2 linked regions of the Caenorhabditis elegans genome follow. The protein of the gene in region 1 purifies or fractionates together with the protein of each later gene. This does not show direct contact. Each region holds a gene or a part of one and is shown on either strand. Other genes may lie near its edges.

Region 1 (6,810 bases):
TCAGAAATTCCGAGACCGCTGTTGTCAAGCACAATGAACACTTCACAAGATAGTTTCTAAATATGAGTTGCGGCAGTAGGGTCAGACTCAGTTTTATACCTGCGATTCAGTATAATCAGATTTTATAAACAGAAAAAAATACCACAGTTGTTTTTTTTCATTTTTCACTGTTCTATTTGAGTAATTTATCAAAACGATAAGATAAAGAGTGCTAAATTCATCACTAATGCAAATAATACACAAAAGTCGAAATAATATGTTACATAAAAAAAGTTCAAAAATTGTCTGCTTGCGATATTACAGATTATCTTTTTTGAAATTTTGAATACTTACCGGATCAACGAGAACATTGGAAGTCAATATCACTCCGTACTTTCCATTGCCCCATTTGTCATAAATATTCAAAATAGTGTCAGTTGGAAGCCCATGCTTCTTTGGTTCATTTGGAGCATAAGTGGACTGAATTTCTGTCAATGCTGCCTTCAAAAATCGATTCTGGGCTTCTGGACCATTTCGAAACTTAAGGCGATCACCAAGAATAGTAGAAGAGGCAGAGGTTGTCGAGGTGGGAAAACGTTGGGGAGACATTTTTCTGATTGCATCTCTCAATTCTAATTCTTTATATAACCCTGGCCTACGTTTGCTACAATTTTGATACGGACAGTCTATTTACCCTTATCAGTTTGTGACGATTGTAGTTAAGTTGAGTCTTCGTAGCGAGAGGATTGAAAACATTCGAAAATTGATGGTAAAATGTGAACGAATATTTTGTTCCGAATATTCAGAAATTCTACAAAAACACAGAATTTGAAAGGCACCTTAGATTTCTACTAGAATTTTGCAAAAAGGGAAATTAGCAAACTGATGCCAAGCGAATAAGTAATACGTCATTGGGTCGCTTTGAGCAGTCCCGCTTTACCTGTGCAAAGTCATTTAATTTCATAATTTTTATACCATGTTCCCACGTGTAGTTTCTTTTTTTAATTGTTTGCTTCTTCTTAACATATATTGAAAATTTAGCTTCTATTCAATAAAATTTCAATTGTTCAATGCTTCACAATAGGGTTGCTTGATAGCGAAAAATGTTTGGGTTCAATTTTTGCCGGGCGTACCCAGTTTTGTCAAATTTATATACATTTTGCCAAAAAAAAATGTTTTAAAGCGTTTTCTGTCAATTTTATGTTTAAAAGTTCAAGATCAACACACAACAATTCTTGTTAACTCTCCAATTTCCTTATTCAAGTTGCTTTCTCTCTCTCTCTATCCCGTTTCCCTCCGTTTCGTTTCGTTTCAGCTCTCCTTGACAACCACACCAGCGCACTAATGAGCGCCATGGCGAAGCAAAGAGCATGTGAGTGTGAGCCGAGAGACCGATTCGCATTCCCCTTGTCTTTTTTGCGGGTGCTAAGGGGCTTCATGGCTAATAACGTTTTTAGTCGAGAGCTAGAATGGGCGGTGTAGACATTTTTCAAGTAATGATATGCATTGCGGTAGCACCAACAGTGAATTTTTTTTTGAATATATGCCTTTTAATGTTCAATTTTTGATTTTCGTTAAATATTTTTCTAGTAGCTTATCAAGCATAATAAGCAGTTTCAGTTGTCTTGTTTTTTGTTTTTGCCGGCACAAAACATGTGAAAAAATAATGGCGCCTGTTTGTGCCTGATTTAGAATTTTTTTTGTTTTTTTTTTTGACAATTGTTAATGAAAAATTATAATTTTTGTAACGCACGTGGTGTCAGAGTGTCTCATTTCGGCTTGATCTACGTAGATCTACAAAAAACGCGGGATAGGAGACGCAGAGTTCTCAACTGAGTTTATATGGTTAAGAACGTTCCCGCATTTCATGTAGATCAAATCGTGATGGGATAGTCTGGTACTACGTGCTTCCGTTTCTTATAACTTTTTTATTTAAATTTTTTTCAGACTTTCCAAGGCTTGAATGGTGCAAAACTTTACGCAATCCGCCTATCTAAACCAGTGTGTTTCAACAGAAGACTTTTCAGTTTCATTTGTAAAATCTGAGAATGATGACGTGGCCACTAGGATTCGAGATAAAACAGAGATTTCAAAATCGAACAGAACACAATTTCCTGGAACATCGCCATTTGAAAAATTAACAGTGTAAGTCGCCCAAACCTGTCCAGGGAAGGCGTTGGGCACTAGCTGAGATTTCCACCTCCACATATCTGTATTTCCAGATGGTTCCAATCCTTAATGTCTCGACAAAGAGCCTTACACTCTCGCACAGTCCGTATCGGATATGGACCAATTGATCACGATTCGCCACGAACCTTTCCACCAAACACTGTCCGCAATCAAAAATACAATATTTTCAGTTTCGTACCAGTTGTGAGTTTTACCGTATTTTGTCGACTTATACAAAAAAATCAACAAAATTTTCCAGGTCTTATTCCAAGAGTTCAAATTTTTCCTGAATCTTTACTTCCTCATAATGGCGTTTTCCCAACTTGTGCCAATTTTCAAAATAGGCGCACTCGTCACGTACTGGTTCCCGCTTGGCTTCATCCTTACTATAACTCTGATTCGAGAAGCTATCGAAGATTTCGCCAGATTTTTACGAGACCGAGAACTGAATTCGGAAAAGTACGAGAAGCTGACAAGGGACGGAACACGAGTGGAGATCAAAAGTGCTGATATAAAAGTTGGAGATGTCATAGTTATGCACAAAGATCGACGAGTTCCTGCAGATGTTGTGTTGCTGAGAACTTCTGATAAATCAAGTTCATGCTTCATACGAACCGATCAGTTGGACGGAGAGACGGATTGGAAGCTGAAAATTCCAATTCCATTCACTCAACATTTGGCCAATGAATCAGAAATTATGGAGTTGAACTGTGAAGTTTACGCCGAGAAGCCGCAGAAGGATATTTATAGTTTTGTGGGTACAGTGAAGGTACGGGGGGCTTAATTTTACGGGATATTTTATTGTAAGTGCGCAGCCGTCAACTCACACGTTAAAAATTCAGATAACCGCCGACGACAAAATCCACGAAGGATCCTTGGATGTTGAGAACGTCCTGTGGGCGAATACGGTAGTTTCGTCTGGTACTGCTATTGGGGTTGTGGTTTACACCGGGTGTGAGACCAGATCTGTTATGAATACTACGGTACCTGAATACAAAGTTGGACTTCTTGATTTGGAAATCAACAATCTCACAAAGCTGTTGTTCTGTTTTGTACTTCTCCTAGCGTCGGTGATGGTTTTAATGAAAGGTATGGTTTAGGGGTAGCAAAAGTTTTTTGAAATCTGATCTACTTTTCCCGCTTTCAGGCCCAACCTCACTTTGGTATCTGTACCTTGCTCGCTTCATACTCCTATTCTCCTATATCATTCCAATATCCCTCCGCACCAATGTCGATATGGCTAAGCTCTTCTACTCGTGGCAAATTGGCCATGACCATCATATTCCTGAAACAGTAGTTAGGTCATCAACAATTCCTGAGGAGTTGGGAAGAATCTCATTTTTGCTGTCGGACAAGACAGGGACATTGACGAAAAATGAGATGCATTTCAAAAAGATTCACCTGGGAACTGTTGCGTTCAGTGGTGATGCGTTGGAGGAAGTCGAGCAACATGTTAAAAGTGCATATGACAGTGCGCTTGTGAAGTTAGTTTTTTTTAAATGTGTTACACACAAATCCTAAATTAGTTCCCGCCCGACATCTACCGGGTTCCGCGCCGCTCTATGTTTAAAATGTTGTGGGTGTTGACCACAGCGAGGCGAACATAGTGCGGCGCGGAACCCGGTAGATGTCGAGACATGGGAGCAGGCTTAAATTTTGGAATTTGTGCGTCCAAGATAAAATCTTTCAGACACCCATTCTCTGCGAAACTGAAAAACGCTGTCGAATCACTTGCCCTCTGTCACAACGTCACACCTGTTCTGGAAAACGGAGAGCTATCCTACCAAGCCGCAAGTCCTGATGAAGTTGCACTCGTGAAATGGACAGAAACCGTCGGTGTAAAACTTGCTCACCGAGATCTTCATACAATGACTCTAGACGTCCAACCTTCAAATGGCACGACAGTTCCAATACAGTTTCAAATTCTACACGTATTTCCTTTTACATCTGAGCGAAAACGAATGGGAATAATAGTCAAAGAAGAGACATCCGGTGAAGTAACTCTCTACATTAAAGGAGCCGATACTGTGATGAGTGACATGGTGCAATACAACGATTGGCTCGACGAAGAGTGCACGAATATGGCGAGAGAGGGTCTCCGAACTCTAGTTTTCGCTAAGAAAATCTTATCTCGCGCTGAGTTGGAGGCGTTTGATCAGGCCTACCATGCGGCTAAAATGTCGATAACTAATCGCACACAGAACATGGCAAATGTGGTGAAGAATATGTTGGAGAGAGATTTACAGCTGATTTGCTTGACAGGAGTGGAAGATCGGCTGCAAGATCAGGTTACAACCTCTCTCGAACTTTTGCGAAATGCCGGGATCAAAATCTGGATGCTCACCGGAGACAAGCTAGAGACCGCAATTTGCATTGCAAAATCTAGTGGACTTTTCTCGAAATCCGATCATATCCACGTGTTTGGAAGTGTACAAACCAGAACAGATGCTTACAATGAGTTGGATAACCTGCGAAACAAGACAAATATAGCGCTGGTGATGCCTGGATCCTCTCTCAACATATGCCTTCAATATTATGAAGAAGAAGTCGCCGAACTCGTTTGCGCGAGCACAGCCGTGGTGTGCTGCCGATGCTCCCCAGAGCAAAAGGCACAAATTGTGCAGCTGCTCCGAAAATATCGAGCTCCATTGAGAGTCGCTGCCATAGGTGATGGAGGAAACGATGTGTCGATGATACAAGCGGCTCATGCTGGAATCGGTATTGACGCGAATGAAGGAAAACAGGCTTCACTTGCCGCAGATTTTTCGATCACACAGTTTTCGCATATTTGCCGATTGTTGTTGGTGCATGGAAGGTTCAGCTACAAGCGGTCATGCACATTGGCTCAGTTTATAATGCATCGGTGAGTTTACTTGGCGGCGGGCGGCGGCGGGCGGCGGCGGCCGACAGCGGGCGATAGCGGGCGACTGCGGGCGGCGGCGGGCAACAGCGGACGACAGCGGCCGACAGCGGGCGACAGCGGGCCATATCGGGCCATAGCGGGGACAGCGGGCCATAGCGGGCCATAGCGGCCGACAGCGGGCGACAGCGTCCGACAGCGGGCGACAGCGGGCGACAGCGGGCGACAGCGGGCGACATGTGGGCGACATCGGGCTTAGCGCCTAGTGTCCTCCGTTATTTGCAGGATGTCTCCCGGTGTTGCCCATTATCGCCCGCAATACCAATTTTGCTCTTTTAATTTCCAATAATAGTTCAAATTACAGCGGTCTCCTCATCTCAATAGTACAAGCCATATTCTCCTGTGTATTCTACTTCGTCGCCGTCTCCTTATATCAAGGTGTTTTGATGGTCGCCTTCACATCATGCTATACCCTTCTACCAGTGTTCTCCCTGATTGCCGACCGTGACGTCACCGCCACAAATGCGCTAACATATCCGGAGCTGTACAAGGAGTTGGTGAAAGGAAGAACGTTATCTTACAAAACATTTTTTATTTGGGTTTTTATATCGATTTATCAAGGTTTGTAACAGACTAATATTGGGGAATTGTAGTATTTTTTCATTTTATTTTTTTAGGTGCGGTAATAATGTACGGTGCACTACTAATTTTCGATACAGACATTCTGCATATTGTCTCAATTTCTTTCTCAGCTCTAATCGCAACTGAGCTTATCATGGTAGCCTTGACAGTGCATACCTGGCACTGGTTGATGCTAGTTGCTCAGGTATGTCCAAAGTAAGTAGTCAAACTGGAGTACTTTTTTTACAGGCTCTATCGCTAGGACTCTACGTGGTGTCCTTGATAACCTTAGATCAGTTTTTCGATCGGAAATTTGTATTTTCATGGGTCTTCATCACCAAAACCACAGCTATCACTGTAGTTTCCTCTCTCCCATTGTATTTTATCAAAACTTTACGGCGGAAGTTTTCACCGCCTAGCTTTGCCAAAGTCAAATGATATATCTACCGAGTGCTCGTCTATTAGACATATATTTTTTCCGGTTAATTTCAGAAAGAAATAATCATATCAGAACATGTTTCATTTTTCCGTGATTTTCTGTAATACAGTTTGAATAATTAGTTTTCCGATTTGAATAATAAAAAATTGATTTTCCATTAAACAATTAATTAGTTATAAACTGTCTAGTGCTCCCATGAGGTCGTCGCAACGGCGCCTCCGCCGGCCTCGCGGTGTCGGCGTGACGCCGGCAGGCGTGAGGCCCGCATTTCGCGCCTCTCTCAGCTGGAGCCCTAAAACTGTCAAAACAAACTAATATTTACTCACCGACCTACTGATAAGATGACTGTAATATTACGTATTATAATGTTTTGTGGCAACAGGAAAAAACAATGTCAAAAGAATCTTTCGATATTATTTTACATCAGTTATAGCGTTTCAGCTATTCTGTTTTCATGATTCAGAGGTCAATATTTCACTTCTATCTCAATATTCTACTTATAGCATGTGTCACTGTAGTCGGTCTAACCTATTTTTACTCTAACTATTGTTCTAACAATTTGAATTCGAGAGAAAGATACAGGTTAGGCGTTTAGGTGATATGTCGTAACTGTTATATAGTTTTAGACTGCATTCTGCAATCCAGCCTGTAGCTGAAATTAGGCCAGGTAACAAATGGATAGTGGTCACAAGTATTAGCTTACCAACGGAAGATGTCAAGGTAATGTTCAAAGTGAAATTGT
Region 2 (5,022 bases), on another chromosome or scaffold:
TACAAGCTCCTGATGTCTCATTTTATCCACTTCGTCCAGAATTTGTTGAATCTACATATCTATTGTACACTGCTACGAAAAATCCATTTTATCAGCATGTTGGACTGGAAATTCTTGATTCATTAGAAACAATTACTCGAGTAAAATGTGGCTTCGCAACTGTGCATGATGTCATTGATGGAAGTCTTGAAGATCGAATGGAATCGTTTTTCTTATCAGAAACATTAAAGTATTTATACTTGTTGTTCGATGTAGATCATCCAATTAACAAGGAACAGCAAGAAAGTGTTCTTTTTTCAACAGAGGTATGAATATTGCTGATCTAGGAATTCTTACTTACAATTAGAAAAGTAATTTCAGGGTCACATATTTCCAATATCCCCGCTGTTCAATCTGCCTCCTACTCCGCCATCTCAATATGATCCACCTCTCAAACCATTGCCACGTACCAACTCATCATTTTGCGAAACTGCCACAGACTTCACTTTTGGAACCCCACCACTTCGTCATTCTCAAATGCGTGAATTGTTCAAAGTTATTGGAGTTGATTCGGTTCTTCACGATTGGTTATAATTTATTTGTACTATTGCATATCTGATTTCTTGTTGCCTTATATTTTATGTGGTTTTAGTTCTGTGATAGCAATATTTTTTTTCCGGTTAGCATTAAAATATATGAATTTCAATGATCTAGAAATAAATCAAAAGAAGATAGAATAATGAAATCATATGTTTACATTCTACTAAAATCAATAAGAGTTTAAGTTTTACCAACAATTATGACACATCGTTTGTGATTTGTAATCAGTGTAATACAATGGCGAATGGAGAAACCGAGAGGTATTGATAAGAGAAGACTGCTCACAGAGCAAAAACAAGTCCAAGCGGTTTTCAATATTAGATTCTCCTCCCAGAAGTGTTCTTTGATTGATCTTTCAGTGATGGTCGTTTCTTGATGGGCCTCGTGTTGATCGCCAAACGAAACAAGCCGCTGATCGCGATGATGGCTGCTATACTTTTCACAGTCGCTGTATTTTTGGCTACGAGGTTTGTTGCATTCGACTGTTCCTATTTGGTGGTTTTCAAATGCAAATTAATATTTAGCATATTTTCTCAACTGTCTGGGATTTTTATTTTATTTTTATGCGTTCAGACTTAAATATTTCACTGTTACCGTAGCTGAGGGTTGCGTCTGCATTTTCATGTAGTTTGTGGTGTGATGTGTGTGTACACTGCTATATTTTCGTAGGCCTATTTTTTACAAATTGCTGCGCTGGCAATGCTATTCTTGTTTTGTTTTTATCTTAATCAAATTTTTAGTTATTTTTTATACATATTAATTCTCAAAAATGTATTCAGTATTTGTAAAATTATCTGCTAAGAGTGATTAAATACATTGATCAATACTGAGTGGAGTTATTTATTAGGAACATCAACGATTAATTTTATTTTTTCTGCGTTTTTCAAGCTACATATTATTGCGATAAGGAAATTGAAAATGCATGTCTTCCATAACTTTTATCCGTGCCATTGAACAAGAAGCCATTTATCACCAAACATGCGAAGAGCCTTTTAGACAAGAAAATTAGCTTGTGCAAATTTATTTTAAACCTCTATTGAGTTGATGTTATCTATATTGAGATGTTCAAAAATTTCATGACTGAAATTAGGATTTCTTTTGGGCCCAGGTGAGAGTTTTTTATGCTGATTGTTTTGAGCCACAGGGTTTAGATAATCGTTGAATGATATTATCCTGCCTTATGTTTCAATTTTCAATTTAATCTTGCTTCTATCATGACGACATAACCAAATCCACACATATCACCAACTGCTTGAAAATGTGCATGCGCCACAGCGTCTCTCGTGTTTTCCGCATATATCTCACAAATGTCTGTAGTTGTCCTCATCTCTTCCTAGATGATACTGAGCTGTCGAAGTGTGGCCACGGCGAGAGGATTTTTGTTATCAACTCGTCTTATTATGGGCTGTGCCGTGAGCCAAGAAAGCGCCATCGCCACTGTCTCGTCATCTTCAAACACTGCAACAACATCCACCAGCAGTTCAAATACTTCACAGAAATGGGCCACTTCAAGGACATCGCGTCCAGTTACAAACGTCACACAGGCAAGACTGATGAGTATTGTTCTAGTTTTATTTTGGTTATGTGTAGGTTTCTGCGATTCACACCACTTCAATGGATTCCGGCAGCTCAACTGTCCAATTACCTTCTCCTCGTGGCAGTCTTACCACAGCCGTCTCCACCTCTTCTTCGGGAGCTCAACGACAAATGTCAGCCAATTCGGAGAGGAGTCTGCACACGAGGTTGCGTGTTGATGTTTCTTCCTTCTTGTGTCTGTGTCGTTTTTAAGGGAGGATAACGTTTTATATAATCCTTATTGATGTTTTCTATCACTTTCTAATAACTCACATCCATTGGTAGAGCGGAAAAGAAAAGAAAACAATTATTTAATCTAAATCTGGGTCATGCTCGAATCGCTGCTAGATCTTATATTGAGAAAAAACGTAGTTTAAAAATATTTAACCCTTCTCCAAAACTTCAGTTTGTCCAGCAGCCCCTTGTAGATGAAGTGTAGGCGTACTAAACTTTACCCCGTCACCTCACATTGCAAACGGGCGGTGTCAGCTGATAAGACTAGTCCGTCACCAAATGCTCAAAGAATAAAGAAATGTTGCCTATAATTATGTAACATACTTTTCAAAGATGCCAGTACACATGCTTATAAAATGACACTTTGTGTTTGGAAATTTATTTTCAAGTTGCTTTATTGTCTTTATTTGAATTCGCATTTTAAATTCTGGCGTATTTTTTTTTTAAACTTTTAACGTGAAAACTTTTGCAAATCCACGTTTTAATAGTTTCGAGTGGCAAAATGTTTAAAGATTAGTTTAACAAAAACCTTGTGAAAAATGTTCTCTTGGCTCTTTTGCGGTCGTTGTTTCCGAAACCCAAACAAGTTTGTTATACTTATAATTGGCTGTTATGAGTGTAGAAGTGTTTTCATGATAGCATCTAATTCCACTCGCAAACACATGTAGTTTTCAATATTCGCATTATTATTATTTTTCAGGCCCTTGTCGGAGACTGCTGTCATTTTGCAAAGTCAAGCTGTGAAAATGAGCACCGGAGCCGGAGATTCAGCAGTTTACGAAGCCGTCGAGCGTGGATCTCTTTATAGTTTGGATTATAGAGTTTATATCAGTGAGTCGAAGCTGCTATAATTATTGGTTCTAATATCTATTTTGCAGAGGGACCACAAGGAATCGTATCTCCTTGGCACGATATTCCATTGTTCGCCAACAAGGACAAGAGAGTTTACAACATGATTGTTGAGATTCCACGTTGGACAAATGCTAAAATGGAAATGGCCACCAAGGAACCATTCTCGCCAATCAAGCAAGATGAGAAGAAGGGTGTAGCTCGCTTTGTTCACAACATTTTCCCACACAAAGGATACATCTGGAACTACGGAGCTCTTCCACAGACATGGGAAGATCCAAACCATGTTGTTCCTGACACTGGAGCTAAAGGAGACAATGATCCAATTGATGTTATTGAAGTTGGATCAAAGGTTGCCGGACGGGGAGCTGTTCTGCAAGTAAAAGTTCTCGGAACATTGGCTCTCATTGACGAAGGAGAGACCGATTGGAAATTGGTCGCAATTGATGTCAACGATGAGAATGCTGACAAGTTGAATGACATTGATGACGTCGAAAAGGTTTATCCTGGACTATTGGCTGTAAGTTTCGATTAAACATTTTTCAAAATACGTTTCATTTTTTTTCTTTCAGGCATCTGTTGAATGGTTCCGCAATTACAAGATTCCAGCAGGAAAACCAGCCAACGAGTTCGCTTTTAATGGAGAGTTCAAGAACCGAGAATACGCGGAGAAAGTCATCGATGAGACCAACGAATATTGGAAGACTCTCATCAAGGAAGCAAACCCATCCTTGAACACGTAGGGATTTCATCGCTTTTAATATTCTAAACTTCAAATTTCAGAGTCTCTCGGGTTCCAGAAGCTGTTCACCAAGGAACTGATGAAGCGGCCGCAACTGCCATTGGCGCTACCCCAGAACATGGAGCAAATGCTCCACTACCAGGAGATGTTGATAAGTGGCATTTTGTGCAAGGATGACTAGTACGCCCTGGAAGCCGTGAAGCATCTTCAAAACTTTAAATTTATTGCACTGTCGCTCCCTGAAATTATACTGACTCCCTCATTCTCTTGTTTTGTTCCAACGTATTTGATTATTTGATTCCTTTAATTTTATATTGTTTTTTTCATTATTCGAAAAACTTTTAAAAATTGAATTGGGGATCTTCTCTGTTTATGTATGTGATGTTTTCTTTTTGGTTTACCACCATACGTGAATTATTTGTCAAATCCAAACAGATCTTTTAAATTCAAAGTTCCTTTGGAAAAAGCAGTGAGCAGAGTCAGCACGAACTCGATAAACAGAAGAAACAATTTAAATTTTGAAAATGCTGATTTCAAACATATACGAACGAACTTTTAAAAATACATTAGAAATATCGAGAAATTTCTTTCGCAAAAAAGGAACACAAACACTACGAGACGACGATAGCGATGTTTTTATGTCAAAGAAGAAAAATGCAAAAGCGCTCTATTTTACTGCTAATATTTCTATGAGAAACTTGGCGCCATTTTCCACTTATGTTCCTTTTTCTTCATTTCGCAAGCGCGCCACTTTTTTCAAATGAAAATCAATAATTTCATCCTTCTAGAATCTTCCACAAACAGTTTGTTTCGCATTTTTTCGAAACGTGCAGTGGTTAAAAATCATTCGCTTTTCAATCTCAATTCTCGCCGAAAGCTCATCATCAGATTCTTCTCTTTTAAGCCACCATTATTCGAACTGCATCAGTTTTCATCAATTAAAAACTATTTTCAGTGGTTCTGATCTTTCGTGATTAATGACTACCATCCTTGAGCTAACATCGGCCAACAAAACTAACAACAAGGCCACCAATAACAAGCTG

The links.
Region 2: the proteins of tat-6 (region 1) and pyp-1 fractionate together in Caenorhabditis elegans (co-fractionation; one large-scale study listed by BioGRID). This does not show direct contact.

Annotation. Positions count from the first base shown.
Region 1 is NC_003283.11:3,127,183-3,133,992, forward strand, and holds tat-6 (Phospholipid-transporting ATPase), read left to right. Parts: upstream 1-1,920; 5' UTR 1,921-1,942; coding exon 1,943-2,124; intron 2,125-2,201; coding exon 2,202-2,352; intron 2,353-2,407; coding exon 2,408-2,917; intron 2,918-2,990; coding exon 2,991-3,237; intron 3,238-3,295; coding exon 3,296-3,632; intron 3,633-3,838; coding exon 3,839-5,011; intron 5,012-5,372; coding exon 5,373-5,629; intron 5,630-5,685; coding exon 5,686-5,834; intron 5,835-5,878; coding exon 5,879-6,067; 3' UTR 6,068-6,230; downstream 6,231-6,810. Other genes in the region: Y73C8C.10 (NADH:flavin oxidoreductase/NADH oxidase N-terminal domain-containing protein), read right to left, coding at 334-588; F02C9.2 (uncharacterized protein), read left to right, coding at 6,523-6,650, 6,695-6,788.
Region 2 is NC_003282.8:9,994,858-9,999,879, reverse strand, and holds pyp-1 (Inorganic pyrophosphatase 1), read left to right. Parts: upstream 1-1,916; coding exon 1,917-2,123; intron 2,124-2,169; coding exon 2,170-2,321; intron 2,322-3,088; coding exon 3,089-3,219; intron 3,220-3,266; coding exon 3,267-3,757; intron 3,758-3,809; coding exon 3,810-3,976; intron 3,977-4,020; coding exon 4,021-4,156; 3' UTR 4,157-4,495; downstream 4,496-5,022. Other genes in the region: C47E12.3 (alpha-1,2-Mannosidase), read left to right, coding at 1-305, 361-573; uba-1 (E1 ubiquitin-activating enzyme), read left to right, coding at 4,957-5,022. UniProt on the Caenorhabditis elegans protein: Catalyzes the hydrolysis of inorganic pyrophosphate (PPi) forming two phosphate ions. Plays a role in intestinal development and subsequent normal secretory, digestive and absorption functions. Required for larval development.